Linked DNA regions of Lonchura striata. The protein of the gene in region 1 binds, or shares a complex with, the protein of each later gene. Links are inferred from orthologs where the notes say so. Each region holds a gene or a part of one and is shown on either strand. Other genes may lie near its edges. The genes, in order: STX7, BET1L, VTI1B and VAMP7.

Region 1 (6,954 bases):
TGAAAGCTCCATCAGGACAAAATGAAGTGGTGTGACAAGCACTGCACATGTCAGATTTCACAACAGTCACATGATAATTTAGCAGACTGCAGTCAGGTACAGTTAATAAGCACCTAATCTAGTCTGTATTTTCTCATTTAGATATTCAAAGAATTCTCCTTCTCCCATAAATCTAGCCCAGGTACATTAGGGTAAGAACCCTTAAGCCATAGTTTTTCTGCTTGAGCAATATTATAGCATTAGGACCTAAAATGTTTACATGGACCCTTAATTTTCAGAAAGCAAAAAGTACATACTGAATTCCATAGAACACTTGAAAATTGTAACCTGATCTGATTTTATGCCTTTAAGTATCCAGAAACAAGTCATTGGGCTTTCCTTACAGGATATTTTTTTCCTAATCAAAGGTCACAGTAACAAAGCTTCTCCTAAACAATATGTGGCTTCCTTTATAAACTATCCCTCCCTAAAAAAAAAAAAAGTGCAAAATTCTTTAAGCAGGGTGAAAATACAGGCAAAAGTGATGAACTGCTGAAAAACTTGGGTGAAATTTCAGCAAGTCACAATGTTTGCTACAGAAAAACTAAGACCTCCTGCTACAGCAACTGAGGGATTCTCATAAGAGACTCTTAGCAACTGACTTAGTAAATACAGGTGAGCATTAAATCAGTCATTATTTTTGCTAGGGACGAGGGAGGTTTAATTCTTTTCTGGAGTTGTGTCTTTTTTTCCTTTATACTTAAGCTAAAATATTAGAGACTGATATTACATTTCCCACTTTCTGCTTTTACAGCTTATAATTTGCTGAAGTTCTGATCCACAGGAAGGCTGTAAGCTCCCATAATACAAAATCAACTGTGGAGGATAACAAATAAGCAAACAAAGTAGCAGTAAAATTAGATTCTTCTTGCTTTCTTAAAAGAAAAGTTTCCAGATTATTTTTTTATCCTCTACTTTCAGGTAGAAGTCAAACTTAAATCCATACATGGTAGGAAAAAGCAAAATTTAAAACTGCATCAAAACTAACAGCAGAGAAGTCAAAAGGGAACTGCCGACCTACTCTGCAGAATTCCCTTAGCCTTGCCATGTTACTGATGCTGACACCTACCAAAACCAAGCTTGCATCATCTAACAGCTCTATGTTATTAGATTGTAACATTGATGAGTGTTTTAGTCATTTTTCCTAAAAATACTTCTGTTGAACAAAGATGCAGTTTAAAGCAGCAACATTTAAACTGCTCAGCATTAAAAACTAAATTACATAAGCCTGAAATTCTATTAGGCCTAACGCATCACCAACACTCAGCATATATGGATAAAAATTAACATGCTTACAATTGTCTGATTCATCCACACTGATATTTATGATGAACTAGGTGAAGGAAGTGCATAGCTTTCACAAGCTTAAGAACATATTAGTGCTTGGCAAAATGCCTTAAGTAAGAGAATTATGTTTCCTAGGAGCACATAAGGCATTTAAAAGCCTCACGATGAAGCAAAGAATAGGAAAATGAACACTGGGGACTGGAACTATGGGGGAAGAGAGGGAATGGGAAGTCTGAAAATGGACCTGATGACCATTTCCAAGTTCCCAGTTTCTTGTGCAGCTGGTAGGCAAACAATATCTCACGGGAAAAAGAAGATGGATGAGAAGCCAGATATATCTGGTGTGCTGTTTGCTCTCACCCAATTCTCCATCATGGTAGCTTGTTTGCTACCAAGTGAACAGATCAAGCGCACCAAGGAACAAGTTACCTTTGTACAAAACCTGATTGCACAGCATGCCAAGTCTCTCTGAGGCCCACCAGGGTGCTAATGACTACATATAGCTCATGGTCTCTTTTCTTCTCTCTTGGGAGTTTCAGTTCTGTGTAAGCCACCAAGAAGAGCGCTACCTCATATTCTTCCAATGACTACAAAAGGCATTGTCATGAGGCAAACATGGACACAGGTTATAACAATGCCACGATTTAGCACTACTTTCTCCTAATTTTGACATATTTTAACTCTTTTTTTGGTCCCCTTTTCCTTCTTTTCCATTAAGAGCAATTGCACAATCCCCAGACTCTGAGCAGAGGGGCTGCACTGCCGGCAAAGCACAAGCTTGTATATCGACACGTCAGGAGGGCTCCACTCGCCCTGCTGGCACAGCCCTCTCTGCCTTTGGACGGCTTGTGGAGGGGATCACAGCACGGGAGCACATAGCTACTGGCCAAGTATCCTGAGATTTTAACACCGGGCATCTTCAATTAAGATGTAGTGCCCTGCACTGAAAGCAAAAGGGAGTGAAACCCTCCGCTGACTTGCTGAGTTTGAAGAAGCGCCCATTTCTGATGCAGAGCCGAGTGATTCACCAGGACAACAGCGATAACTTCGGGCCAGGAGCTGGCGCGCCAGGCCCGGGCTCTCTACTGACATCGGCCACTTTTATCGCGTCCCTTCCGCTCATCTCGGACCTGGAACAGCGAGGGGAGCATTTCCACAAGGCGAGGGTGGAAATGCACCCTACAGTTCCACACCAGCTCTATAAAACACCTGCTGCAGGCCCCGACCGTCCCCCGAGAGCATCGCCAAGCCCAAAGCTCTGGTCCTGTGGGTGTCACAGGGAAGGGTGCGGGGAAAGGAGCTGGTGCTGACACGGCCGACCGCGCTCCGACAAACAAACACCGGGCTCTAACAAACACCGCGCTCCCACACCAACACCGCGCTCCCACACCAACACCGCGCTCCCCCCGCGGCCCCGGCCCCGCCTCGCCCGAGCCGCCCCGCTCGCCCCACGGCCGGGCAGGGCGGCGCGGCCCCGGCTCCAGCGAGGCCCTTCCCGCCGCCCTGCGGCCGGCTCCCCGCGCCTGACAGCGCCTTCCCGGCCCGCCGGACACCGCCCCGGCTCCCCAGCGGAGCTCCCGCGGCTCTCACCCGGCCCCGGCGAACGCGCTCCCGGGTGCGGCCGGGGCCGGGGGCGGAGCAGGGCGGGGAGCGGCGGGCAGGCCCCGGCCCGGCCCGCCCCGCCGTGACGGGAGCCGGGGAGGCGCGGCTCCGCCCGGGCGGCTGCGGAGCGGGGCCGGGCCGTCCCCGGCGGGCGGCTCCGCCCGGCCTGCGGGGGGATACTTGCTGACGGGCCCGGGGGCTGCCGAGGGGAACGGGGCAGCCCCGGCAGCCGCAGCCCTGTGTGACTGGAAAAAGCGAGAGTGAAGGGTGGAGAGAGTGTCACTCAGGGAAAAGATGCTGTTGCATCAGGAAGCAAGGCTAAAACATGGTCAAGGATACAATATTACCGTGATAAAATACGACGTTACATTGTTAATAGACTGGTTTGCCCGCCCTGCCTTCCGCTTGGGTTATTTCTTCTCTAAAGGGGAATAGACTCTTCAAAATGAGTGCGTGGTAAATTGTAGATCTCTTCAAAGATGCCTTTGAATGCAGAGATACAAACCATACAGCTGGGAGTGGGGGCAGGGGAAGCCAGGAGCACGAAGAAGGATGCGTTCACACGTTCACCAGGCTCGGGAGGACAAAGAGGATACGATAGCCACAGCACGGGGGCTCCTCCTGGCCCAGCTACCTGAGAAGTGACAGAGGAGCCTCCAGGCTCCCTACACAGCATTTGAGGCATTTCCCCCACTTCTTCAAAGGGACAATGACAGGGCCAAACGCTCCCCAGAGCCCTGGGGCTGAGCTGCTTCGTCTGCAGGATACCCCCGTGTGTATTAAATAGCACTTAGCGAACAGCCCGTGGCACCCGATTGCTGGGAATGCCGCCTCCTCCACACTGACCAGCTTCACCCGAGGAAAAGCTGCAGAAACTGGGAAGTGCAAGTTTAATTCTGCTTCATCATAGAACCTGGTCATTGCTAAGATTTAGAAATAGCTGAAGCAGTGAAAAATATATTAGGCATTTTAACCCAATAATAACAGAGAAGTCTAATAAACTGCAAACACAACGGAGTGTTAAGTTAAAGGCCTGAAATAGGCAAGACTACCCTTTACCTTACATGGGTGGTTCTCGTTGGATCTCAAAGCATGCTGAAAACAGAGACAATATAGACTCCGACACTTGTATGGGCCTATGTAGAGTTCTTACAGTAATTGATGGTTGGAAGTGTCATTTTATCACTTTCATGGATTAAAGTTACTAAGGAAAAAAGCCATTCTGATATGCTTTTTTGCTGAAGAAATGCTGTATACATCATCAATCTATTTTTACCAGGCTATTTTATTAGTGATTATTTTAGCATTGCTACATGTGTGGGTGTTTTCTCCAAAATCCCACTAGATGGTGCACTAATGAGAGTATTATGCACATTCCTTCCAAATTAAGCGCCTGACTTGATTTATATAAACTCCATTGATTGACTCAGTCACTCCTGCTTTATAAAACTTCAGCAGAGATCACTGCCAGTTTTCCTCCAAAAGACAGAACATCTTTTACTTTATGATTTCAAAAATGTACTTCCCCTTGCAAAAATGATCCTTCATCAGTGAGAATACTTTTCCTGCAGGCCACCACTCAAGTACTTTTTTTTAGGCTTAGAGGTAAGACCCAGTCACTGCTGATCAATGCTCATTCTCATTCTATAGACACAAGGTATCCAAATACTTTTCTAGTGAAGCTGTGTGCTTCATGAAGAAAATCCTGCTGCTAGGTCACATCATAAATGTCGACATTTTGCTGTTAAATATCTCAAAGTCATATGATTATTTAAAGTAACCAGTTGAAGAATAATATAAAAGCCTGAGAGGGAAAAATGGATTATAAAATAAGCTTCTCAATGAAATTTTTGTACTATAAAAATACCTAAATAGCCTTTGTAATAGAATTATAAAATAATTATAAATGTACAGTTACTAGACTATTGATCATATTTATTGATCAGAACTGCTAATAGCATGGTATGCCCTTAGAATATTTTTGTTAACTCCTATAGAAAAGCCATTGAGTGGGAGAACATGCCCTGTTTCACCCTTTAAAATAAAACGAGAAGATTTCTTCAGTTTCTTATTCTAGCAATCATGCATAAACAGGGGTTGTAAAGAAGCCATGCCTAAATGTTATCAGAAATGCTGATGCATTTCATTGGCTCATCTCTAGAGTTCTCACATCAGCATTACCTGGGGGTTGAATTAAGAATCATCATTCACCTATCTCTCCTGTTTCGTGTGGAACATAATCAGATTTCAAATGACTGAATTAAATTGAGAAAGCTCTGAGCAAAGAAAAGAGGAAATGCTGAGTCCCTTCTATGTATAGTCACTACATACCATGGAAGATGCTCTGGATATTTACTGACTGAAGGTCAGAGTGTTTGCCATTTATATTCTTTTCATGTGTATAAAACAAAAATGAAAGGATGTCCTGTATATATATATCCCAGTATGGTATATAACATCTGAAAGAGATGGAACTTAAACCACACCAGAATGGTGTGATTTTGAAAAAGCACACCTTCCTCCTGGCCCAGCATCCAAATCAGGACCCACCTTCCTGACTGTATTTCTACCTCCCACCTCCTGCTCCTGCCCTGGCCCCTAATGAGAAGACACACAGGCCTGGCAGTGTGGGTGGCACAAGCTCCAGGGCCACCAGTGACACAGAAATGAGGCACTCATTTCCATGCAGCTCCCTGGGCCAGCACAATGCATGATGAAATGAAGGGGAGCAGCCCAGCCCTGGCCTTACGTTCCTGATGAGTGTCCTCTTTCCAAGGCATGAGCAGTGCCTAAGCGGTGTGTAATTTACTGTAGGCGCCAATTTCATTCTCTGCTATCACATCTCATTTGTGCACCTCTGGCTTTACATAGGAAGAGTAATGTTTTCAGTATTTAACAAAGAGTCTGGCAGAGCTTCCCAGGCAGTTATTACTGACACATTCCACCATCAGCAAGAATTCCTGTTATTATCGTTGTCATCTCTGTTTGCTAACTTAATCAAAATATCCACTCCAGAACCTGAAATGAGATTAAGTTCCCATTATACCCAGGCCTGTACATAATTATGATGGATGATGGTTTACAGCTTGAATAGATTTATGGTTTAATTATACTGCAGAATGACCTGTAAAATATCTCTATTAAATTAAAAAAAAAAAAAGCATTGACCATTTGCATGTTATTTAGGCTGGCACTTTCTCTCCAGCAACAGTAATGAACATAGTAGCATATGTTTTAAATAAACAGAGATCTATTCACAATATTGATAATGTTTCCTAAAAATAATAAAAAAAATTCACTACCAACTTATTTTCAAATCTTTCTTTGCCTAGGAATTTAATTTTCAAAGACATGTTATGCTTTCATCTGCAGTAGTGAAATGAGCTGACATTAATATTTCAAAGCCCGATGTTTAATTAAGTAGTACCTGAAAATACATAATTTCTCTAACTTCAGACAGACCATTTTGAAACAATAAGCATTTATAAAAGGCATAAAATGAAAGAGCATTGCTTTGTTCAGATATAGAAATACAAACCTACAGAAGAAAAAATATTAAAAGAATATATCGACTGCAAGTTCAGCAACTAGCTCCGATAGAATCCAATAATCTTCATTTGGAAAATGAGGTCATTGTTAAGCAATCAATAGTCATTATTTTACAGTTCATCATCATCTTTGTCCTCCTCTTAATTTGCAATTCATAATGACCTTAATTACTTTTGGGAACCATGCAAAATAAAAGAAGAAACTTACACAAAGGGATCCTGACAGAATTTGTCTAGGTAAACCAACCAGATATCAAAGGTAAGAGGACACAGGACAGCTATAAAGGTGAGGAAAATGTTGTTTAGTGGTTTTTCCAAAATTAATTTTCAGAAAATCAAGAATCTTGGCTACTTCCAGAATTTTAACAATATTTCCTCCTTACTTACCTACTCTGCCATTGCTACTGTACGCATCAGTACTCTGGGTTCTGCTTCTCCCTTTCTCCATAATTCAGCTGGCAGTTTAGCAAAAAAGGAG
Region 2 (7,945 bases), on another chromosome or scaffold:
AAGGAATTCCCACTGGGAACAGGGAGAAAGCAAAGGAACACCCAGCCATCCATCCATGAAGAGGGTTTGCTGGAGAGTCTAAATCAGAGGAGAAGGAATGGCTGAGCCCTGCCTGTTACAGGAAAAGAGAAGCAAATAAGCAAACACACCCTCCAAGGTAAAGCAGGGGTTCCTTTTGTACTCTCTAAATGCATAAACAAAACAGCAAATCCCTCCTTGGATCCCCCCACTCCCAAGAGCACTGCGGGGGGAGTTCCACCTCACTTTATTGGCACTACATCTCCCCAAAGTGCTCTAAAAGCAGGATGCCACGTTAACCACAGTTAACTGGACCTTCTGCCACCGGTATTCTTTACCCTGATTTAGTAACTTAATTTGCACATGTGTGGGAAGGTTCTGGAAGGTTCCACACAAGTGCAAATCCATGTGGTTATGGACTGTGGCCCTCCCTTCCCAGAGGGTCCAGCCTGGTTTGCCCACAAGGATGATAAAGACAACCAAGCCAGGATTTAATGAAAGTCCCGCTCTCCTGCATCTCTTCCCTGCTACAATGTGAGAGTATCCAGGCCCAGATCCATTGCTAATTCCACCCGGATTAGCAATGCACAAGTTTCCTTTCACAGTTTCCTTTCAGCCCAGGGATATGGTCTGCAAGTCCAAGGGAAATGGAGAGTGGCCACACGGAATGTAAGTCACACATTGGTACTCCCAAATCCCCTAAGTCAGCATCCTAAATCCTACAGCTCGCAAAGCTCAGCTGGGTTATGGAGTATCCACAAGTCCCTGGATTTGTTAGTTCCTGGTTTTGATCGAGGGAGGTCATGTGGAAGTGGCCCTTAGAAACAGCCCACGGGATGGAGACAAGGCAGGAGGTCACGGCCAGAGCCATGACCCCAAAATCCTGACAGACACGAAGATCCCTTTGGAGCCAAACTTGTTTTGGAAGAGCTGCCTGGGCCCAGCCGGAGCGCTGACAAGCTGGAAGGAGAAGTCACTGGGAAGGTGGAGGTGTGGCTGGAGGCTCCTCTGGAAAACATGTGGCCAGGTCTGTGGATGGTGAGGTCTGGCCTGTGCCACCTGCCAGCCCGGGCTCAGGTCCCCGCCCGGGACACCAGGTAGTAGAGGATGAAGAAGATGAGGACGAGCACCGCGGACACGGTGAGGAGCAGGCGGCGGTTGTCGCGGCCGGAGCGCGCCATGCCGGAGAAGCGCTTCACGCTGCCCGTCAGCAGCCCTGTCACGCTCAGGAAATCCGAGTCCTGGTGGGAGGAGACACCTTGGAGGCATTGCAGGATCATAGAACTTCCCAAGTTGTAGGGACTCACAATGAGCCAGTCCAGCTCCAACAGCACAGGACACCCCAACAATCCCAGTGCTGATTTAGGGCTTCTTCCTTAAGGGCTTTTGCCGTCCCACCTCTCATCCCAATTCCCTGATTTGCACAGAAAGCCCCGTGTCCCGTTTGCCAGGTCCTTACCATGCCATCCAGGTAGCGGTTCTGTTCCTCAGCATCCTTGTCAATATCCAGAGCCAGCTGCAGGGCAAGGCAGGAAATGGGCATTAATGAGCTTTTAATGTCCAGAGAACCTCTAAAATCTGAAATGCAAATTATTAAAACAAGCTGCTGCTTTCCCAGCTCCAACAGACACACAGGGGCTTGTCTGGTGCAGGAACAAGGAAAATGGCATTTCCCTGTCAGGTGAACTTTTTCAGCTCTGAAAATAAAGCCTGGCTGTCTAAATCTGCCAGCTAGAGAAGGTAGTTTAAACCCTGGGACACAATGGCAGGAATTCAGCTTGCCCTTTTACACAGTGAGTCATCAACTTCTTTCATGGTTTGTACTACACTTTTAATAATAATTTAGAGCTTAAAGCTCTAAATCAAAGTGTTTGATGTTAATAGGAGCAAACCAGCATTAAGAACAGTTACACAGAGACACAGGTATTTTCCAAAATTAATCTGCCTGCCTTTTTTCCATTAATTTTTCCCCAAGGATGTGAGCTTAGCAACACTCCTGTGTTCAGGTTAGGCAGGGCTTGGAGCAACCTGGTCTAGTGGAAAGTGTTCCTGTCCATGGGAAGGGGTGGGACTGGATGAGCCTTAAGGTCCTGTCCAACCCAAACCTTTCCATGGTTCTGTGATCCCCTGCAGGACTCCCAGGTAATCAGAGCCTGTCCTTCACCTCAACACCTGCTGTGACCTCGGCACTCACCGACTTCAGCCTGGTGACCTTGCTGGCCAGGCTGTCGGCCATCCGCTTGTTCTCCACATCCAGCAGGTCCTCCATGGCGCTCGGGCTCTGCCCTGGGGAGAAGAACGAGGAGCACACATCATGCCTGCCGTGCCACAGCACAGCTCTGTTCCCACCACAGCCCCTCCACACATGCTTTGTGCAGTGGAACCTTCTGAAAATGTGACCAAAACACCACAGACTTCCCCCAAACAGGCCAGGGTGAGAAGCCAGAATTCAGGGTATCTGAAGTGCCACCCCAGCCCAGCAGCAGCTGTGGGGGTTCCATGGCCAGTGACATCCAGGGGTGAGATTTGGGTGAAACCCGGGGCCCTCTGCCCCTCGGCCGTGCTGGGGTCTCTCGGCATTGCCCCCATTGTGGGGCAGGTTGGGGCTGGGGGGGATTAGGAGTTCTGGGGCAATTAGGGGCTATGGGGGCTCTAAGAGGTATTTAGGGTTTATGGGGGGGGGGGGCTTAGGGATTCATGGGGACAATTAATGGATAGAGGGAGCAATTAGGGGCTCGGGGGGGCAGCCCAGAACCCCAAAAAAGGCACAGGGAGGCAATTAGGGCTTACGCGGTGGGGGGGGTGGGGTGTTATTCCCGGGCTATAGGGGGAGAAATCGGGGCACTGCAAAACGCCCCGCGGGGTTCAGTGGGATCGGGAGTTCCTCCTCCCTCCGAGCCGCTCCAGCCCCTTCTGCCCCCCAAACCTGTCGCTGTCCCTCGTCCCCTCACCTCGGCCCCGCTCCGCCATGGCTGCCCCGGCCCGTCCCGCCCCGCCGGGCGGAGCCGCCACGAAATGTCCGCCCGCTCTTCCTCCTCCTCCTCCTCCTCCTCCTCCTCCTGCCCCCCGGCGCCGGGACCCTCGGGCCGCTCGCCCGGGCCGGGGCGGAAGGGCTGGAATTCCCTCCCGAGGGATCCCGGGCCGCAGGTACGGCCGGCGCCCTGCCCGGGCACAGCGGCGGGACAGGGGCTGGGGGAGGAAACAGCGCCTTGCGGGCAAAAACCGGGGGGTTGGGGACAAATATAGGGCTTTGGGGACTAGAATAGGGGTCTGGGGGCAAAAAGAAGTTTTGGGGAAATAATCAGGGGTTTTGGGGGTGGGGAAATAGAGGTTTAAGGGGAAAATAGGAGCTTGGGATAAAAATAGAGGTTTGGGGGGAAATAGGGGCTTGGGACAAAAATAGAGGTTTGGGGGGGAAGGTAGGGGTTTAGGGATATAAACGGGGTTATGGGGACAAAAAAGGAGGTTTGGAATTTACTCAGATGGTGAGGGAAGGAGGTGGCAGTAGGAGTATGGAAATGGGGATATGCCCAATGATCCGTTGGTTAATGTCATCCCTCCAAAAGCAGAGGTGGATCCCCTCCATCCCAGCCCCTGCACATGGGGATGCTGCCCCGGGCCAGCCCAGCCTCCTGTCTCCGCAACTGTCCGCCTTCCAAAATGCAGGATCTGCCTCTTTTGGTCCCCCCAAAACGCCCCTCTGGGGCTGCGTGGGCAGGAGGGGACAGCCCGTGTGATTCCCAAACCCCGGGAACCCTGTGCCTGGGATCCCGGTTTGTTGAGGTTGGTGTGACCAGCTCAGCCTCATCCTCATGGCAACACGGAAGCCGAACACATGTCCGAGCTCAAATCTGCTGGATTTCCCCCCATGGGAATCATGTCCCAGCGCCCTGGGCTCGCGTGGCTCCGTGAGCCGCTAAACCGGTGCCGTGTCCGAAATAATCCCGCGGTGCTGCGCATCTGCTGGCTGGCACTGTCGGCAGGGACATCCTCGCCCGGCGGTGGCCTGCAGGGATCGGCCATGATCCAGCCCGCCACCAAACCCTCCTGCTCTGCTTCCCACCGCCTGCAGCCGGAGGATGCTCTCCCGCCTGGCTGCCTCGCCGCTCCGTCCCTTGTCACTCCGCGGCAATGTTTCGTGCTTTATTTGTTATTTTCCCCCTGTGCGGCAGCAGAAATCAGGGCAGGCGGGGAGGAGGAGGAGGAGGAGGAGGAGGAGGCAGGGAGCTATTTCAGGGAGCTGCTGTTATCTGCTCCACGTTAATCTCCAGCTGGTGGGGGGAAGGTTTTCCCTGAGTGCTTTCCTGCGAGGGCATATATTAAACATTGAAAAGCAAAGCGAGGAAGAAGAGGATTAGCAGGAGAGAGAGAGAGGAAGTTGGCTGCTGGCTTTGCTCGGGTTATCCATCTGCTCCACTTTTATGGATGCAGCAGTGTGAGCAATATCACTTGGGATTTTTTTGTGTTGTGTTTTTTCCCTCCTTGCTCTCTCCACCCCTTTCTCTCTTCCCTCTCAGAGGTCTGTGTGCCGAGCTGCTTTTCCATCACCCTGGAAATCCCCTTGCTCCTCTTCTTCTGGGGCTGTGCCATAGCTGAGCTGTTGGGATAATGGAGCTCCAGGCTGTGGTGTCCACGCTGGAAAGTGGGGAGCAGGACACGGTTCTCAAGGTGCTCCAGGTCTACAACCAAGAGGTGAGTGAGCATCAACGCTTCCCTCATCTCAGGAACTCCTAAAAAAATGATTATCAAGATCCCAAGTAAAGCCTGGCCTGGAAATAAGAGTCAGGGTGAGGACTGAGTAGGAGGAGCTTTTATGTTAAGGTAGTTTTGGAGGTGCTGAGAGAATCCAGGGAGGGGCTGCAGGTGAAACGATGTTGGGATTTGCAAGTCAAAAGATGATTGGAGGTAACTGCTGGGATCTCATATGGGCATGGCTCTGAAAGCAGTAAATAATGAATGTAGAATGTAGAATATCAAACCCCAATGATCTGGAAGCAGAGATGGAAGTGTTTCTAGCCTTAAAGTAGGAAAAGATAATCCGTGGTGGTAAATCTCTGCTTGGAGAAAGGAGACTGAGGGGAGACCTCAGCCATTTACATCTTCCTCCTGAGGGGCAGTGGAGGGGCAGCTCCAGTGTCTGCTCTCTGAGCAGTAACAGGACCCAAGGGAACAGCTGGAGATGTTTAGGTTTTATATTAGGAAAAAGTTCTTCCCCCAGAGGATGTTTGGGCACTGAACAGGCTCCCCAGGGAATGGGCACAGCCCCAAGGCTGCCAGAGCTCCAGGAGCATTTGGACAGTGCTCTCAGACACAGGGTAGGATTGTTGTGGTGTCTGGGCAGAGCCAGGAGCTGGACTGAATGGATTGTGTGGGTTCCTTACAGCTCAGGATATTCTATGGCTCTGTGAAATCCTGTTTGAAACAGACTCTAGTTGTCAGAGAAACTCGGAGGTTTCCCCTGAGAGGGGCTGGCCCTGTGGATCACTCTGACTCACTCTGCACCAGGCTGGAGTAGGTGGAAGCCAGCAGGGAAAACCTGAGGAATATTTTGCAAGAGTGTGTGAGAGAGGGAGTGTGTGGAGCTATTCCTAACAGTCAGATTTGGAACGGGGAGATATTGGCCAAGAAGGAGCAGGTGTCTGTTAAGGACAGCACTAAGGATTAACAGCACCAGCAGCAGGTGCAAACAGTGTCTGTGTGCCCCCAAACCATGATATTTCCTGTTGGAGTCCCCCAGCTGGGTCCTTCCTGGGGTATTGAGCCTAGGGAACTGCAGCCACAGGGTTTGCTGGCCTGTCTGGAGGAAATGGAGCAGTCAAAGAGGATTATGAATCTGCAGATAAACCTGGCACTGCCTGGCATTGCTTCTGCTGCAAGACTAATGGTTCTGTACGCTTTTCCTCTGGATTTGTTTTTAATTCACTGTTGTGCATGCAGTTTTTGCTTGCTGGGAATATGCTACAGCTAAAGCAAAACCCCAGGTGTGGCCAAAATACCCCCAAATGGGATTACAGCCTGAAAAGAGGATGTGCTGAGGGAACAAGCAGCCTGCTTGTGGAACACGGCAGTGGCAGGACTGGGCCATCAGCTCCTGGTAGTGTGGATGGATCAGCTCATGGAGCCCACACTCAGCCTGGCTGGAGTACACCTGTCCTGCCCCCACACCTGGGGCTGCTCCAGGCAACTGTGTCTATCACTGCTTCCAGGCTGGACAGAGCCCATTCTATCCCTGGGCTTTTGGTGACTGCACACACATAATCAGTGTTTTATGGATTTTAAATGTTTTTGTTCTCCAAGCTGGGATCAAACACTCTCTTGGTATGAACAAGGATTGCCTCAGTCACTGGGAGGTGCTGCTTCTCCCCAGGCACCTGTGATCTCCAGTTCCATGGGAGCAGGTTTGGTCAGGAAGGAGACTGTCAGTGAAGAACAAACAAAATAGCAAGAGAAACACAATGAGTGGAGATCAGGAGTGTTTGTTAGCATGGGGACAGGATGGAGTGTGGAGATCAAGTCCTTTGTGTTTAAAGAATGACCTGGATAACCACGAGGATCCATTCCCATGTACCAAGGAGACAAGACTTCTTTTGGTCAGGAAAAGGAATAATAAATATCAAGGGGAGACGTGTAGGCACAGCTCAGTGGTATCACTGAGCACAGGAATTACCGGCTCTTATAGGATATTGGGATTGGGATGAATAGCCACTGTGCTGCTGCAGTATTTAAACTAAATCCATCTGTCAGCTGGCCTGTGGCATTCCACTGGTGCTGTGGAGCCAGGGGTGATGCCCATGATGTGGGGGACTGTCAGGAGATGGTTTGTTTGCTGTTGCAGCATGTTTTGGACTTGCTGCTTTCCAGCTGAATGGCTCTTCTCTGGTCCCATGGAGTTTTAACCTATTCCTCTTTCTGATTGATTTTGTTTTTCCCATAGAAATCTCAGTGCTTCATCTTTGAGGATGAGGAGCGGGAAGAGAGGAAGGTAGGCACATGCTGCTTGCTGTCCTCCTCTGGTCAGTGTGTAAATCTGCTGCTCTGTACTCATGTCCAGCTGGGCTTGGCAAGCAGCTCCCACATGAGAAGAACTGAAAGTTTTCCATTCACTTGGTTGGGGAATTATGTGCTTGGACTGTCTGGCTCTGCTTTTTCCATCAGTATTTGGTGGTTTTGGATAAAGATTGGCATCCATCTGACACTAGCAATGGTTCCATGATCCATATAGTCCCAGTCATGGATGTGATCTCTGATGCCTCCGGACAGGAATCACAGCAGTGCTGGCTCCGGGGGAGGGTGAGGGGCTCTGTTGGGAGCCAGCAGTGGGATTTGCCAGGAGCTGTGTATTAGCAAATCCTTTGAGCTGGTGTAATCTGGCACTTGGAGGGAAGGAAGACTCTGCCTGCTCATTCCTGCTCCTGCCTGGCTGTTCTGCCATAAGAATAACTGTTTTCCCTGGGTTATTTTCCAGCTGGCTCAGTTCTGTGGTCAGTTCACTGGTGGGTGGTGCCAATGTCTGTGTTAGCACAGCAAGTGCGGGCCAGGCGACCGGGGTGGAGAGTTGGACCTCCTTTGGCTGTGCCAGGGCCAGCTGCTGCCACATGGAGTGTTCCAGGCACAGCCTGAAATGTGGGACTGGATCTGATGAGATCTGAGCTCTTTGCCTTGCACTGACCCACTGTGTGAGCTGGCACAGTCACACAGGACATGGCTTCAGGCACAGTGTCCCACTTTTGGGATGTATGCCATGAAATATGAGATGAACAACACCACTAGTTCCTGGTGCTTGAGTTTACAGATGGTTCAGCTTCAGGCACACACCCTGAGATCTCTTTCCCCTGAACCAGCCTGAGGCTTTGGTTGCTGGGACTGTATCTGAAATTCTGTTTCCCTGTGAGGCAGGAGAAGAGCTGTACTTCATCATTTCCCCAGG
Region 3 (7,962 bases), on another chromosome or scaffold:
ATTTGTGCTGATGCCATTGTTTGTGTAGCTGGGTTACAAATGAAACCATGGACATGAACTCTGGAAAAACAGCCTTTGGAAGTCAGTAATTTGTTTCATTCAGGTTATTTCACTAATCTGATTCAAGCAGTGCCCTCTTAAACCCACTTTGTTGTCTCAAAGTAATGGAAACCCATCAGAGATCTGGAAATGCAGCATTTCCTTGCTTTATTTCTCCTATTCAGAATAATAAGATGCTGCACTTATAAGCTGGCAGCCAAAGAAATGCCAGCTTCCAAAAGGCATAGAATCATGGAATGGTTTAGGTAAACCAAGCAGCTTGAGACCTTTTTGTCTACAGGCTAACAAGAAATCCAGCAATGTGGCTTGAAAACATTCTGCTGTATCTGGCTGGTATCCAGAAACACCAAAATATACCGAGAGATTCACTTGGTGTCGCTCTGCATTGAACCACAACTCAAAGCACAAGGACAGAACTCTAAAATGCAGCAGCAGTGCCTGTGCCACAGCAGCATCACCCACATGCTCATCAACATTAAACTAACTTATTTCCAGACACTTAGAAAGAGATTCAGTTGGAAAGTATAGCTAAGTGAATTCATGGAGAGGAAAATACATTATTTTAAACTTATCCAGGCTGCTTCCCCTTCTTACCAATTTGGATGGGGAAAAAAAGGGTGTTTCTAGAATTAGGAATTTGTCATCTTGTTTATATAGAATGAAACAGCATTTCCAAACCTCTGCCCCTCAAAGACATCCCAAGGACTATAGGTTCTGTGTTGCTCTTGGAGCATGTGAATTGCCTTAAAAGAGTATTCCAAGGTCTCTTTTATCACCTTCTGAATATTTTGGGATCAAATAACTCAAAAAATTAATATATACTCCCCTCCTCCTAAGTACAAGAAGCAAAGAACGAACATCAGGACAGTGGAATGACAAATTCCTAAATCTTAAACTCTCTTAGAAACACTTTAAAAGATAGTGCCAAGATTTTTGCAGGAAAAAAAAAAAAAAAAAGTAAAGAATAGAACAGTTGTCTTAAAATTCTGTAGCTTGTCTAAAAAAGTCAATGTGCAATTATTTGCAATCTCTTGAAAAAAAAATCCCAAGTATCACAAAAATAGTTGCCTGTAAATACTCCATTTAAACCCACATCTCAGAATTCACTGCTCATAACTACCACAGTGTCAAGCAGACTTGGTTTCACTTCACCAAGAAACTGATCATGCTCATTTCTATAGAGAAATAAGGATTTCTACCAGAAAACATATTGCTTCTTTTAAGCTTTTTATCCTTGTTGACCACTAGTGAAATTAAGTCAGGTTTGCAAATTGTCATTTGTGGGTTTCAACACCTTTCTTGTACCAAACTTCCTGAAAATGCTGATGCCAAGGACTGTGACCCTGAACTTAACTCATTAAACAGAAAGTCAGGTAAGAAACAGAGCCCTTCGTGCTCTGTGTTATCTAGTGCAGACTGGTATGTTCTGAACAAAGTGTTCTTATGATTTTACACAAAACTGATCAATTGCGGGAGAATGAACACTGCAGGAGAACGTGACTGACAGTCCTTGCTCATCACTGGGGTAGAAAACCTGAGCTGAACTACAGCAGCTCGTAACAGCCACAGATTACATTTCCCATAGGAAGGGTTCAATCAGAGGCATTCAGTGACACTGGCAAAATTCTCCTTGTCACATTGCTTCCCTTTCTGGTTCTCAGAACGCTGCCAAGTATCAAGATTGCATCAGAAGCACAGATCCTTACAGAGGACTGCTCTGTGAGAGCATGTTACCAGTGGTGTGCTATAAAGAATACCGGTGAAAACAGGTTGTGCTTCTAATACAACTTAGTGTGGCTAGAGTGATAGGTTTTCAATATTTTCTGAGTACATACTGCATAAACCAGACTTTTAAAACAATCATTTCAAATGCAAACATTCTCCAACAAATCTACAGACGTTTCTGGGAAGTTCTGCCAATAAAAACTGCTTCTATTTCTGCCAATGAGGTTTTAATTGTGAATCCAACATAGCAAATTAAAAAAAGGGGGGACAAGAACCCCAAACCCCCAAAGCACTGCAGTTGTTATAGAATCAATTTAGCTGGAAAAGACCTTTGCAGTCATTGAGTCCAACCTGACCTAACATTACGCTGTCAACTGGACCATGGCACTGAGTGCCACATCCAGTCTTTCCTTAAACACCTCCTTAAACTCCACCACCTCCCTGGGCAGCTCATTCCAATGTCTAATCATGCTTTCTGTGAAGAAATTCTTCCTAATGTCCAACTTTAACCTCTCCTGGTGCAGCTCAGGTCTGTGTCCCCTTGTCCTGTCACTGGTTGCCTGCGAGAAGAGGCCGAGCCCCACGGCTGCAGCCTCCTTTCAGTGGTGTGGAGAGTGAGGGGGTCACCCCTGAGCCTCCTGTTCTCCAGGCTATACTCCAGTTCAAACAGAAACAGCATGAAAGAGCGTCCAAAGAAGGGCTCCTCCTCAGAGACGGATGCCGTGAGCCTAGCACGGCAGCGCTTGCCAGCGGAGTTGAAATTTGCCAGAGCCGAGGAGCTCCAGTGGAGCGAAGCCACACACCTGCAAGGCCACCAGGACATGGCAGCAGCTGAGAACGACACAGGGCAGCGCCACCCGCCTCCTCCCAGCGAGCGCCTACCAGGAGCGACGTCCCCAGCCCCTAGAACCGCAAAGCCCCCCACACAGAGTCCTGACGGGACGCTGCCCTCCCCGCTGCTCAAACGCGCCTGTCTGACGAGAAGCACCCGAACGCTCCCGCCACAGCCCCGCAGCCGGCCGCGGCGGCCCCGCCCGTGCCTCGAGGAACGCCCACTCCCCCTGCCCGCCTCACCGGCCGCACTGCCCCGCAGCCGCTCGGGGACGCCCCGCAGGTCTCCGTGCAGCCCGCGGAAGATCTCGTGCAGCCGCTCCAGCTGCTCCGAGGACGCGGCCCCGCGGCCCGCCATGGCCCCGCGCCCCCGGCCCTGCCCCGGCAGGCGCTTCCGCCGCCGGGGCCGCCTCGCGCACTGCCTGCTGGGAGCTGTAGTCCCGGGGAGGCGGCCGTGCCCGCACCCCGCGGGGGCGCTCGTCCGCCGCCGCCACGGAGCGCCCCGGGCCGGCAGCGCCGGTGCGGCCCCGGGGCTCCCCGGTACCGGCGTGACCCGCCGCCGCCGCGCTGCCCCCAGGCCTGGACGCCTGCCCACGTGCACATCGGTGCACGCTCCTTGCCAGGGTTCATGACATGAGCCTCGGCGTGGGGTTGTAAAAATGTGCTTCAAACGCCACTGCCGACAGCCGCCACTGCGCTGTCCCTGGAGACATTTCTCGCTCCTTAATTGCGGACTGCGTTTCAGAATGTTTCGCGGGACCCAGGTCGGAGTACTGTGGTTCCGGGGCAAAAAGCAGCGGGCCGCCCGCGTACCTGCGGGCAGGGCCGGCGGGGGCGCGGTGCGTGCGGAGGTGTGGCGGTACGGGTGTGGGCGAGGCCAAGCGGGCGGGGCGGAGGCGGATCCGAAAGGGAGGGGCGCGGGCTGCCGGAGCCGTGCGCTGGCGGTGCGCGGGTAGCTGGCGGCAGGGATGCTCAGCTGCTGGGAAGCCGCGCTGGGCGCCGCCGTCTCCGTGCCCGTCTTTCTTTTCGTGGCAGCGCCCTACATCAGGTGCGTCTTACCGAGCGCAGCCCCTGCCCTTCGCGTGTGTTCCGCCCCGCAGGGCGGCGCCCGTTGGGGCGCGGAGCTGGCGCGCTTCGCGTTTCTTGCGTGTGTGTCTGTGTGAGTGCGGCGGGAGTGCGAACAGCGGGAATCCCGCGCTGGGGTCGGAGTTATTCAGGCCTGCCCGCTCCAGCGCCCCGGCGACACAGCCGCGCTGCCGGGGCTTTCCCGGGGCTCGCTCGGCCCTGGCACCGCCGGTGCTTTCCCCGGGCTCCCTCCGGGCGCCGGCGCGCTCGCGGCGGCGCGGCAGGGGGCGGGGCCCGCGTTCTCCTCAGGGCGCTGCGGCGAAGCCCATTGGCCAAAAGGCCTCGAGGCGCGCGGCAGCAGCCAATGGGAGCCGTGGCTCCACTTGACGCACGGATGGGGCGGGGCCGCGTCGGGAAAGCGCGGGGGATCGGGGGTGGGGCGCGTTCCCGGTGTCCCGATCGCGACAGGGCCGTGACCAGCCGCTTCAGGCGAGGGCGCCCGTGGCTCCCTGGGGTGAGCCCGAAAATTGATGCGAACCCAGGTTCTGGGTGCTCAACCCCGGACGGGGCATGCTGAGCAGGCAGAGGTGACTGGTGCCTCCCCTCTTGCAGGCGGTATGTCGCTGGAGGACGGTGTAAGTCGACAGCAAGGTTGGAGGGGAAGGTGGTGATAATCACGGGAGCCAACACAGGCATCGGGAAGGAGACCGCCAGAGACCTCGCAAAAAGAGGCAAGTGCAGTCTTGTCAGCACGTATGCCTCTGCAGCCGGAGTGGCTGTACCTTGTGCCAGTAGCCCCTTTTCTGGACCTAAGGAAGAGGTGTTGTAGGCTTATATTGAAGTAAACTGGATTCCAGAGTTACTGCAGATGAGCCCAAGTGCTGTTCCTTCCGAGGCTGTAACCACTGAAGTGCAGGTTTCCAGTTCCTTAACTGGGAACTTTTCATTGCTTGGACTCCAAAAATGTGCCTTGGGGACATAAAAATGCGTTGCATTGCAACTGATTGAAGGGGACTGGGGAAGTTCCTGGATTCTGCTTGTAGGAAGCTGAGAAATGCCATAGGTCCACCACTATGTGCTTTAGTTATTCATGTTTCAAGCTAATTTGATGCAAATGTTATTTGGCTAACTAGTAAGAAGATTAAACTACCTGTTCACAATCCATTTAGAAATTACTCTGGCTGGAATCCATGACCTTTATGTGCTCCTGGCTTGATGTTCCCATTATAGGGGCAGATACAATGCTATCATACCAGTGTTGTATGCATTCCTGACCTGGGAGAACATGGACAGAGGCACTTAAGATGTGTATTTGCCTAGTCTGAAATCATCTTTCAGCAGGACTGTAGCTCACACTTGAGTGGGGAAAGCTTTGTCCCTTCCAGCCATCCCCCTGACTGATGCTAGTTCCCTAAAGAAACAGTATATTGTTTGTAATTGCTGGGCATGGTCAGCCTGCTTGCCATAGCCTTGATCATCCAGTGTGCTCCAGTGATCTCATCTTATGTTCCTGTTGTTCCCCCCTCCCCTCCTTGCAGGTGCAAGGGTAATTATTGCCTGCAGAGACACAGCAAAGGCAGAAGCTGCAGCCAATGAAATCCGAGCTGAGACAGGGAACCAGCAAGTTATTGTGAAAAAACTGGACTTGGCTGATACGAAGTCCATCCGGGAGTTTGCTGAGAGATTTCTAGCAGGTAGAGTCTCTAGATTCTTATTTTTAGTGGGAGTATTTTACTAAGGACTGCTGTCTGTTCTTCTAACCATTGCCAAAGCCCTGTCCTGCTTGTCTCTGTACCTCTTGGGTACTGTGGTTCATAGCAGGGGCTGGTCAAAGGCCATGAGCTAGTTTGTGGTAGGAGATATATCCTTTTTTTAAGGTGATGTGGCTGCAAGTCAGACAACAAGGGGTGAGTTGTACTACCTTCTTGTCTGCATTCTCTGTTTCCTTGTTTAAAGATATTTGTTGTTTCTTGCAGAGGAGAAGGAACTCCATATTCTCATTAATAATGCTGGGGTAATGTTATGCCCTTACTCCAAGACTGCTGATGGCTTTGAGATGCATCTGGGAGTCAATCATCTTGGTAAGGCTAGTGGAATCATGTTTGCACTGAATATGGAACCATAGAATCGTCAAGTGATTTGGGTTGGAATTGCCCTTAAAGATCATCTTCTTCTAACATCGATATCTATAGCAAAATGCCAAAGGAAAATCCTTTTGGATTTTCTCTTCCTCATTCTTCCTTTTACTGGGATGATGGAGGGTCAGAGTCAGAATTCTGGAGATGCAATGTGATGTGTTTGTGCATTGTGGATCTGTATGTGTTACCTGGGACATTTTGAAATGTATGATGGCTACAGCTTTTTGAAGATGAAGAGCAGAACCTGAAGGCCCCAAAAAAAGTGTAGATGTCAATTCAGGGGAATTTAACAGAAATTTTCTTTTTCCTGGACTTGAAATGAGGACAGCAGTAAGGTACCACGTAGAAGCAAGCAGGGGAACCCTTTCTAGAAGGATGACCTTTCGTCTCCCCCCTAGGTCACTTTCTCTTGACTTTCCTCTTGCTGGAGCGTCTGAAGCAGTCTGCCCCAGCCCGCATCGTGAACGTGTCCTCGCTGGCTCACCACGGAGGCCGAATCCGCTTCCATGATCTCCATGGTGAGAAGAGCTACAATCGTGGCCTTGCCTACTGTCACAGCAAACTGGCAAACGTGCTCTTCACCCGGGAGCTGGCCAGGCGGCTGCAAGGCAAGTCCCGGGGGCAGGTGGGGTGTTTATCTGCTTGGCTTTCTGAGCACCATGATGGGGAGACTGGATTGAAGAAAGAGCTGCAAATTGTCTATGCAGAAATTGAATGGTTTGAGGCAAATGTCACTGAGAGCTCTTTGCAGGAAGAAAATATCTCCTGTCTGTGGAACCAGTAGACTTACAACACAGATTGTCTCTACAGCAACAGGGTAGAGTTTAGTAGCTTGGCACAGTTGAATGTATCTCATTGTTCTTTGGTGTTTGTCAAAAACTAGCTGCATCCACAGAGACAATTGTAGTATGTGGATGGAAGCTGAAAACAGCCACAACTGCAGTCTCCAATAGAAAAGCTAATGCACACTCAGCTGCCTTAAATGGTGGTGGCCCGTAGAACAAGCATAAGATTAGATAGTACCTTGCAAGTCACAACATCTGTCACAGTCGTGTCATTCAGTCCTGTTCATAAACTTAAGTAATACTGATTTACTACAACAGAAGTAGTGTCTTCCCCAGGAAATTACTATTAGAGTAAGTCAAAAGAGGCAGGTGTTCTCAAAAGCCTGCTGGAAACTGCTGCTGGTTTAGCACTCAGACCCTCTAGCACTTTGTTTTGCAGAAGGCACATAATGACTCCTGTGTTTAGAAGGGAGCAGGGGATGCTCCTCATCCAGTGCCATGGATGAGTGATTTAAACTGCTTCAAGAATCGCCATCAAAGGTATTAGCAAAAGTGGTTTTAACCTGATGTCATAAGAGGGTGACTTAAAGTATGATGGCAAGGTTCAGTCTATTATTTACGTGGAAGACACATGCAAAGGAAAACTGATTTAGAATTAAATTAGAATGATTCACACAGGACTGGAAACACACTGTGTAAGGAAGACCCTCCTGATGAATCGTGAGGCTCAGCATGGAGCCCCATGCTTTTTAAACTCCTTAGGGAGCCTATGTCCAGTTTGAGTCTCAGATTTGGACGATTTATATGTATACCAAGTTTCTGTAATTATTACTGAGCAGCTACATGGACTAGTAATGTTTCCTCAATATTAATTCAGCAGTCTTTACCAAGGATTTATTGCAAGCAAAGGGCCTCTCTGCCTTGCTTAAGGAAGGCTCTCAGTCTCAGGTAAGAAATCTCAAACCTTGAGAGGTGCTTCTGCTCCAGGGGAGAGTTAACCTGCTGTGCAGTCCAGTTGCAGTCTGAGCTGAGGTTCAGCTGGACTCATCCAAAGATTTGCTGTTGGTAAAAGCTCTCTGCCTTGAGGAGCAGCCTTGAGAGGTGAGCCAGCTCAAGTGAAGACTGTCACCCTGCAGTCATATTGCCTAGCAGGGAGAGCTCAGAGAAGGCTTAATTAGGCTGTAATATTTACAGAATGGAGTGGTTGGCTTGTATTCAAATTACATACCGTGGGAAAGGTACATGAGACTCAGTGCATCCACAACCTTATTTGTTCCTGGATAAAAGAGTATTGGAAAAGCCATGTGCTACTGATGGGTGTTCCAAATGCATGTGCACTGATACCCACTGGCCTCTGT
Region 4 (7,478 bases), on another chromosome or scaffold:
ATGCAGGACAGCAGTGCTCAGCAATTCCCAGCCTGGCACTGTTCAGGGACACCTGCTGGCACGATGTGGGAATATTTCCTCCTCTTTTCCCATATCCCACGTGTGTGACCTCTCCCTCTTGTGTCTCCCCAGTCCTGCCTGTGCTGCTGGTGCCAGAGGCCAGCCCTGAGCATCACCCCCACGGACGAGAAGGGATCTGTTGGGAAGTGGAAAGCCACGGGGCAGGAGCTGGGGCTGGACCGGAGCAGCTCCCGCCTGAGCAACAAGTACAGCTCTTCCTAAATCCCTGCCACTGTCCAGGACACGGCACAAGGACAGCAGGACCCCTCTGATCCTCTCCCAGGCTCTTCCTGGCTGGGCCTGAATCAGCTTTGCCTTTGTGTCCTAACCCAACTGGAAGGAGCTGGGGCATTCCCCAGGACCACCTCCAAGCCCAGCTCCTGGCCCCAGCGGTCACCCCTGCAGGAGAGGGAAGGACATTCACATCCTCACAGGACTTTTCATTTCCTTCCAGGAAAACCAAAGGACTTCTGGCCACTGCCTCGGGGTGGAACGTGGGGTGGAGGGATGCGTGTGGGAAGGGAAGGAATGTTGGGGTGAGGAGAAGAGGGAGAGTGACAATTCCCAGCTGTAAAAGCCAAGCAAAGCCTGTGAGGGACAGAGATGTCCTCGTGGTCATGTGGAGGTGGGAAAGGCAGTGGAGAAGATTCAATCTCAGCTGGAAGAGCCACTAGAACCAAGTAAAATATGGGAAAGGGCTCTCTGGAATTTATTATTGGCAGTAATTCATCCCCCAGGTGATTTGCCAGCAGTTTTCAAGGCCAGGTTGGACAGGGCTTGGAGCACCCTGGGATAGGGAAGGAGTCCTTGCCCATGGCAGGGGTGGGAGGAGAGGGAGTGGGAGTCCCTCCCAACCCAAACCAGTCTGTGAATCCATGTGATTCCATTCTAAGTTCTTGCCAAAACTTTCAGAAAATCTACATGAAAAAGCTGTATTTATCAGGTTTTTGACGATTTTTTGTTGGCTTTCCTACATCTCTCTTTTCCCTCTCTCTCTTTTCCTTCTTTTCCCCTTCTACCTTGTCACAGAAAAAAAAGGGAGAGAGGAAAAGGGGAGAAGAGATGAGACCTGCAATTAAAACATTTTCCAGGTGTTGGGATGGACTTGTAGCTTAACTGTCACTGAAATGTAAATGTTTTACAAATAAATCATGAAGACAAATGGGTTTGAGGAAAACAGACTGAGGAATATCAAGACCAGCCCATTTTCCCAATCTGTGGTGCAGAAATTTTCCCAAATATCCCCAATCGGTGGAGCAATCTGTCTCCACGTTCTATAACTTTCCATCCCTGTGCTGAGCAGAACACTTAATGAGCTCTGCAGTATCTAAATTAATAAACTTTTTATTATTAAAGAAAATACAATTTGCAACAAAGTCATAAAAAAACCCAACAAAAACGACCTTGTTTGGACACAGGGAATTCAACACACAAAGGTTACACATCCATGCCACTCCCAAAGGCTACTGCATCTCCTCCTCCTTCTGTGCCCTGAACTCCTTCATGCTCCTCTGAAACAAAAGCAAAGAACAAGTGTCACCAACATGCCCCTGGGGTGGCACAGAGCCACCACCCTGCTGTGCTGGGACTGCTCTGGCTGGAGCCTGGAAAGGCTGGGAAGCTCTGACAGAGCTCCAGGTGGTTTTTCTGGAAGTGACTGAACTTTACAGTCACTCCAAGGGAAAGGGAGCCAGGCCATGCCACAGACCAGGCAGAGCCTGGCCAAAAAAACTCCCAGGTTTTCCTGCCAAAGGTGTCTCCAATACAGGCCTCAGTTTCCCATTCTGGGAACAAGGGACAGAGCTGACCCTGAGCTCTGCAGGAATGGCCCAAGGGACAGAACTGACCCTGAGCTCTGCAGGAATGGCCCAAGGGACAGAACTGACCCTGAGCTCCCCAGGAATGACCCAAGGGACAGAGCTGACCCTGAGCTCCCCAGGAATGACCCAAGGGACAGAGCTGACCCTGAGCTCCCCAGGAATGACCCAAGGGACAGAACTGACCCTGAGCTCCCCAGGAATGACCCAAGGGACAGAACTGACCCTGAGCTCCCCAGGAATGGCCCAAGGGACAGAACTGACCCTGAGCTCTCCAGGAATGTCTCACCTCAAAGGTGTTGAGCACGTGTTGGCACACACCCATCAGGTCATTCAGCCCCTTCCGGAATGGCTCCACAGCAGGAAGGGCCCCTTCGGGAAAAGATGGGAAAAGGTGGATTAGGGACAAGGGGGGTGGCTTCTCAAGGGCAGTCCTTGCCTTCCCAGGGGTGTGCCCCCTCCCCAGCCCTACAGCTTGCAGTGCCAGGGATGCTGCTTCCAACTGCAGCTGGAGCAGAATTCTGGGAGCAGCCTCTGAGGCTCAGCAAAGGGGCTCAGCACTGTGCCTGGCAGAGGGCAGGGAGAAAGGGCTTTCCTTTATTTCACAGACTCCTGGGAAGCTGGCCTGAGCAGGGGGAGTTCCATGAGAACAGGGCCCCAGGCACAGAGGGCCAGCCCCAGCCTCACCTCTGGTCTGGATCCTGAAGTTGATCTTGCTTTCCGAGGGGTGTGTGATGCAGTAGCCACAGAACTCCACGTTAGGGCTGCAGGAGGGCAGAGGGGAGAGGGAGCAGTGAGACCCAGCCAATCCACAGCAAATCCCAGGGAATTAGAGGCTCAGGGCACACCAGGCCTGCTGGGGCTCTGGATGTTTCTAGAATGACTATGGGGAGGGATGTGCTGAGGGGAAACTCCCTGTGTGTCCTGGTTCCCTCACACCCATCTCTCTCTGAGCTGAGCTGGAGCTCTACAGGGCAAAGACACAGCTGGCACCGTGCTGGCACCACAACCAGAGCAGTGCCAGCTCTGCAGATCCAAACATGGGGTCCTGGATACTTGCAATTCTCTCTGTAACCAAACCTGCTGCTGCTCTGCTGGGTGGAATAGGTCCAGGGCACTGGAGGAGTTCCCAAAATGTTGCAGAGCCTCTCCTGCACCTGAGCTGAGTGCTGGAACTTTGCCCTCAGCTTCGGCCACCAGCTTCTTTTATGTTGCCACAGTGATTTATCAGAGGGACCTTAAAGGCCACCCAGTCCCAGTCCCAGTCCTGCCATGGCCAGGGACACCTTCCACTATCCCAGGGTGCTCCAAGCCCCAGTGTCCAACCTGGCCTGGGACACTGCCAGGGATGGGAAATCCACAGCCCCTCTGGACAGCAAATGGAGTCCAGGACTCAGTTACTCCTCCAGCAGCTCAGGAGGGACTGAAAGCCCTGGGCTGAGCTTAACTTGGGTTCCTGGGCAAGGGGAGGGTGTGGGTGGAGGCTCAGGAGAGGCTGGTCAGGCCCTTTGAGGGCTGTTGGTGCTCTCAGGGTCCTGGCATGGCACAAGGAAAAGGAGGAGCAGCAGGTGGGAGCAGGGCTCCGTGTCTGACACAAAGGCTGGAAGGGCGAGCACAGAGGGGATTTGGGATCGTTTGCCTCATCCCAGGGACAGCTGAGGTGTGGATCAGGAAGGAGAAGGCCAGAGCAGGGCAGGGAGGTTCCTCAGAGGCCCCACTCACTTCTTCATGACCATGTAGCGCAGGGAGTTGCCCAGGGTGTGATCCTCGTCGTGCAGCACGAACGTGATGCAGTTCCCGTCCGTCCCATCCGCCTGGATCTGTCACCAGTGCGAGAGGAGAGAAGCTGTGACCTCCCTGAGGTGGGGGACCTGAAGGGACAGGATCAGCTCCCGTGCTCAGCTTCCCAGAGTAGCTGGGAGGGTTATAGATCTCACTGAGCCACCTCTGCTGCTGCTGTGGGACCAAAACACCTTCAGGGAGGAGGGAAAGCTCCAAAATTCCACCTAGTTTTAAACCAGTCCTGACCTCCACTTGCTGCTGTTCACCACAGCATGACAGAGTGCCCCTTGGAGCCATCCTGACACCATCTGCCCTGATGCCAATGCCACCCTACAACTAAGCCAAGCTCGGGAATGACAGAACCACGGGAGCACGGAATCGCTGAGGCTGGAAAAACCCTCCGAGATCCCGGAGCACAGCACTGCCGGGGCCAGCCCAACCCACGTCCCCAGGGCTGCAAACCCCTGCAGGATTTAAAGCACTCCTGCCCGGCAGGCCAGCCCTGTCCGTGGAGGAATTTCCGCTAAGTTCCAGCCTGACCCTCCCCGGCACAACGCGAGGCCGCTTTCCCTCAGGAGCGGGGCCCCGCTCCGGCTCCCGGCCGCGACCCCAGCCCGCCCCCGCCGCCGCTCACGGTTTCCAGCGCGGGCCCGCTGCCGGCCATGGCGGCTCGGCGCTCCCGGCGGCCCCGCGGCCGGAAACGCGTCGGGCCGGGCCGGGCGGGGCCGAGCGGGGCCGGCGGGGCCCGGGAGCGCCGGTGAGCGCGGGGCCGGGCCGGGCCGGGCCGGGCCGGGCGGGGCCGGGCGGGGCCGAGCGGGGCCGGCGGGGCCCGGGAGCGCCGGTGAGCGCGGGGCCGCGCCGGGCCGGGCCGGGCCGGGCCGGGGGTCGGTGCGGGGCCGGCGGGAGGAGGCCGCGCTCGGCGCAGGCACGGGGGGCACGGCGGGGTGGCCGCGCTTACCGGGGCTCACCGGGCTGTATCGGGCTGTATCGGCGGGTGATGGGAGAGCTGCTGTGGCCTGGTGCGCTACTGATGGGTACTGGTGCGCTACTGATGGGTACTGGTGCGCTACTGATGTACTGGGGTGTAATTAGGGTGTTAGTGGCCTGTTACCGGGGGTGTTACCTGCGCGTTGCTGGTGGGTTATTGCCGTGTTACCGGGATGTTATTGGTTTGTGATTTGCTGTATTACTGGGATGTTATTGGTGTGTTATTTGTTATATTACCGGGATGTTATTGGTGGGTTATTGCCGTGTTACTGGGATGTTATTAGTGTGTTAATTGCTGTATTACTGGGATGTTATTGGTGTGTTATTGGGGTGTTACTGGTGGGTTATTGCCATGTTACTGGGATGTTATTGGTGGGTTATTGCCGTGTTACTGGGATGTTATTGGTGGGTTACTGCCGTGTTACTGGGATGTTATTAGTGTGTTAATTGCTGTATTACTGGGATGTTATTGGTGTGTTATTGGGGTGTTACTGGTGGGTTATTGCCGTGTTACTGGGATGTTATTGGTGTGTTATTTGGCATATTACTGGGGTGTTGCTGGTGGGTTATTGCCGTGTTACTGAGATGTTATTGGTGTGTTATTTTCTGTATTACTGGGATGTTATTGGTGTGTTATTTGCTATATTACTGGGGTGTTATTAGTGTGTTCTTGCTGTGTTAGTGGGGTGTTGCTGGTGGGTTATCGCTGTGTTACCGAGATGCTATTGATGTGTTATTTTCTGTATTACTGGGATGTTACTGGTGGGTTATTGCCGTGTTACTGGGATGTTATCGCTGTGTTACTGGTGTGTTATTAGTGTACTAGTGGCCTGTTACCAGGGATGTTACTGGGATATTACCGCAGTATTACTGGGGTTATAGCACTGTGTTACTGGCCTGTTACCGGGGATGTTACTGGGATATCACCACGGTATTACTGGGGTTGTATCACTGTGTTACTGGGTTGTTATTACCATGTTACTGGCCTGTTATCAGGGCTGTTACCAGTATGTTGTTGGGATGTTTTTAGTGTGTTAGTGGGGTGTTGCTTAGTGTGTTACTGGCTTGTTACTCGGGTGTTACCCATGTATTACCTATTATTGAGGTGTTACTAGTGTGTTACTGGTGTGTCTGGGAGTGGACGGTGTTGCGGATGTAGCACTGCATGGCTTAATTAGTTAATTAATTAAGCACAGGTGTGCTGGCAGGGGGTGCAGGGAGGCTGGAGGGAGTTGGGCTCTGCTCCCAGGGAACAGTGACAGGATGGCAGGATGTGCCATGGAGGTTTAGGTGGGATATTGGGAACATTCTGGCCTGGACAGGGCTGTCCAGCCCGGGCCCAGGGCAGGGGTGGAGTGCCTGTCCCTGCAGGGATTTGAAGCCGGCTGGAGGTGGCACTTGGGGACATAGTGTGGCTTTGGCATTGCTGGGAAATGGTTGTGCTCGATGCTCTTGGAGGGATTTTCCAACCTCAGCAATTCCCTGATTCCATGCTTTGGGCTGCATGTGTTCCCTTGTTAGAGAGCTGCTTACTCAATCACCGTTGTGTTGTGGGTCCTTACCCTCCTCCAACCCTGCAATGCTGCTTCCAGGAAACGTGATGGGGCTGGAAGACCACGTGGATTCATTTCCTTGGTGATTTGGCATCCGTAGGGATGCAGTGGGGGAACCTGAATTAAACTGTGTGCAAAAGGGAGGCTGAAATTGGGATAAGTTGAAGCACAAATGGCACAAATCTCAGGTTCAAAATGAACAGGAGAGCCCCAGGACTTCATGGTGGAATGTTCTGTAATGAAATAATGATTTTTCCAACTGCCCAGCAGAGGTTAAAGGGAAGCCTGGGCTGCTTTCTGCTGAGCTCACCCTGCTCAAACGATCTCTTTATTGCAGCAGTTTGCAACTCACTGAGTTGCAACACCTCCCCTTGTTCCGCGGTGCCCTTTGCTTTCTGTTAGGAGGATTTCTGGAAGTGCAGGCAGGGACTTTCCACTGCTCACTGGCACTGAGCTGGGAATCTTTTGGGCCAGAAGAGTTGCTGGAAAACGGTAAATCACCCCTACAGGAGTTTTAAACATCATGCTGAGACTGAGCCTGTGTTTCTGATGTTCCTTAAGAGGTTTTTTGGTGCCTTTTTTCCATGCCTATGTATTGGGAAATGGGAATTGTTCCCTGGGAGGGTGGGCAGGCCTTGGCACAGGTGCCCAGAGCAGCTGTGGCTGCCCCTGGATCCCTGGCAGTGTCTCAGGACAGGTTGGACACTGGGGCTGGAGCAGCCTGGGACAGTGGGAGGTGTCCCTGCCATGGCAAGGGTGGCACTGGGTGGGCTCTGAGGTCTCTCTTACCCAAACCCTTCTGTGTTTCTGGGATCCTTCAGTTCAGTCCCCAGAGGGACCTCAGACAGCAGCTCATGCATCTTGCATTGTCTTTTTGGAAGGTTTGGTCTTGGCTGCTTCCAGCTGTGTAACATTGTAAGTTTAGATAGAAAAATGCTCTGCAGAGGGGTTGATTCACAGGGATTTCATTCTCCTGTAACTGCTGAGGAAGGACGTTCTGTGGCAGTTTAGCAGATTTGTGATACTAACAGGAGTAACACAGGCTGGTACAAAAAATATTCCTGGTTAATCTGTTGCTGCAGCTGGTGTTGCTGCCAGGCACAGAACTCCTGTGTCCTGAGCACAGCAAGGGCCAGGAATTTGGGGAGTCAGGACTGTGAACTTGGGAGATGAGGCCTGTGAATCCGGGGAAGTGAGAGCCAGGAACTCAGGGAATTGAGGGCTGGGGGATCCTGCAGTGCCAGCGAGTGCCACCTCACTCTGCTGCTGAAGTGTCACC

Evidence for each region.
Region 2: STX7 (region 1) and BET1L share a complex: the UniProt entries of both Homo sapiens proteins name them as parts of the SNARE complex. The link is inferred for Lonchura striata from reciprocal best matches to the Homo sapiens genes STX7 and BET1L.
Region 3: STX7 (region 1) and VTI1B share a complex: the UniProt entries of both Homo sapiens proteins name them as parts of the SNARE complex. The link is inferred for Lonchura striata from reciprocal best matches to the Homo sapiens genes STX7 and VTI1B.
Region 4: STX7 (region 1) and VAMP7 share a complex: the UniProt entries of both Homo sapiens proteins name them as parts of the SNARE complex. The link is inferred for Lonchura striata from reciprocal best matches to the Homo sapiens genes STX7 and VAMP7.

The regions. Positions count from the first base shown.
Region 1 is NC_134605.1:59,343,924-59,350,877, reverse strand, and holds the start of STX7 (syntaxin-7), read right to left. Parts: upstream 3,005-6,954; 5' UTR 2,917-3,004; intron 1-2,916. UniProt on the Homo sapiens protein: May be involved in protein trafficking from the plasma membrane to the early endosome (EE) as well as in homotypic fusion of endocytic organelles. Mediates the endocytic trafficking from early endosomes to late endosomes and lysosomes.
Region 2 is NC_134608.1:53,232,990-53,240,934, forward strand, and holds the start of BET1L (BET1-like protein), read right to left. Parts: upstream 3,016-7,945; 5' UTR 2,989-3,015; coding exon 2,970-2,988; intron 2,305-2,969; coding exon 2,213-2,304; intron 1,535-2,212; coding exon 1,478-1,534; intron 1,260-1,477; coding exon 1,092-1,259; 3' UTR 1-1,091. Other genes in the region: RIC8A (chaperone Ric-8A), read left to right, coding at 4,627-4,710, 6,953-7,000. UniProt on the Homo sapiens protein: Vesicle SNARE required for targeting and fusion of retrograde transport vesicles with the Golgi complex. Required for the integrity of the Golgi complex.
Region 3 is NC_134608.1:32,868,440-32,876,401, reverse strand, and holds the start of VTI1B (vesicle transport through interaction with t-SNAREs homolog 1B), read right to left. Parts: upstream 3,013-7,962; 5' UTR 2,975-3,012; coding exon 2,860-2,974; intron 1-2,859. Other genes in the region: retinol dehydrogenase 12, read left to right, coding at 3,585-3,664, 4,294-4,412, 5,220-5,375, 5,658-5,762, 6,218-6,427. UniProt on the Homo sapiens protein: V-SNARE that mediates vesicle transport pathways through interactions with t-SNAREs on the target membrane. These interactions are proposed to mediate aspects of the specificity of vesicle trafficking and to promote fusion of the lipid bilayers.
Region 4 is NC_134616.1:15,623,753-15,631,230, forward strand, and holds the start of VAMP7 (vesicle-associated membrane protein 7), read left to right. Parts: upstream 1-4,462; 5' UTR 4,463-4,500; intron 4,501-6,608; exon of another isoform or gene 6,609-6,691; intron 6,692-7,478. Other genes in the region: endothelin receptor type B, read left to right, coding at 133-282; DNA-directed RNA polymerases I and III subunit RPAC2, read right to left, coding at 1,524-1,571, 2,167-2,249, 2,565-2,641, 3,600-3,697, 4,294-4,323. UniProt on the Homo sapiens protein: Involved in the targeting and/or fusion of transport vesicles to their target membrane during transport of proteins from the early endosome to the lysosome. Required for heterotypic fusion of late endosomes with lysosomes and homotypic lysosomal fusion.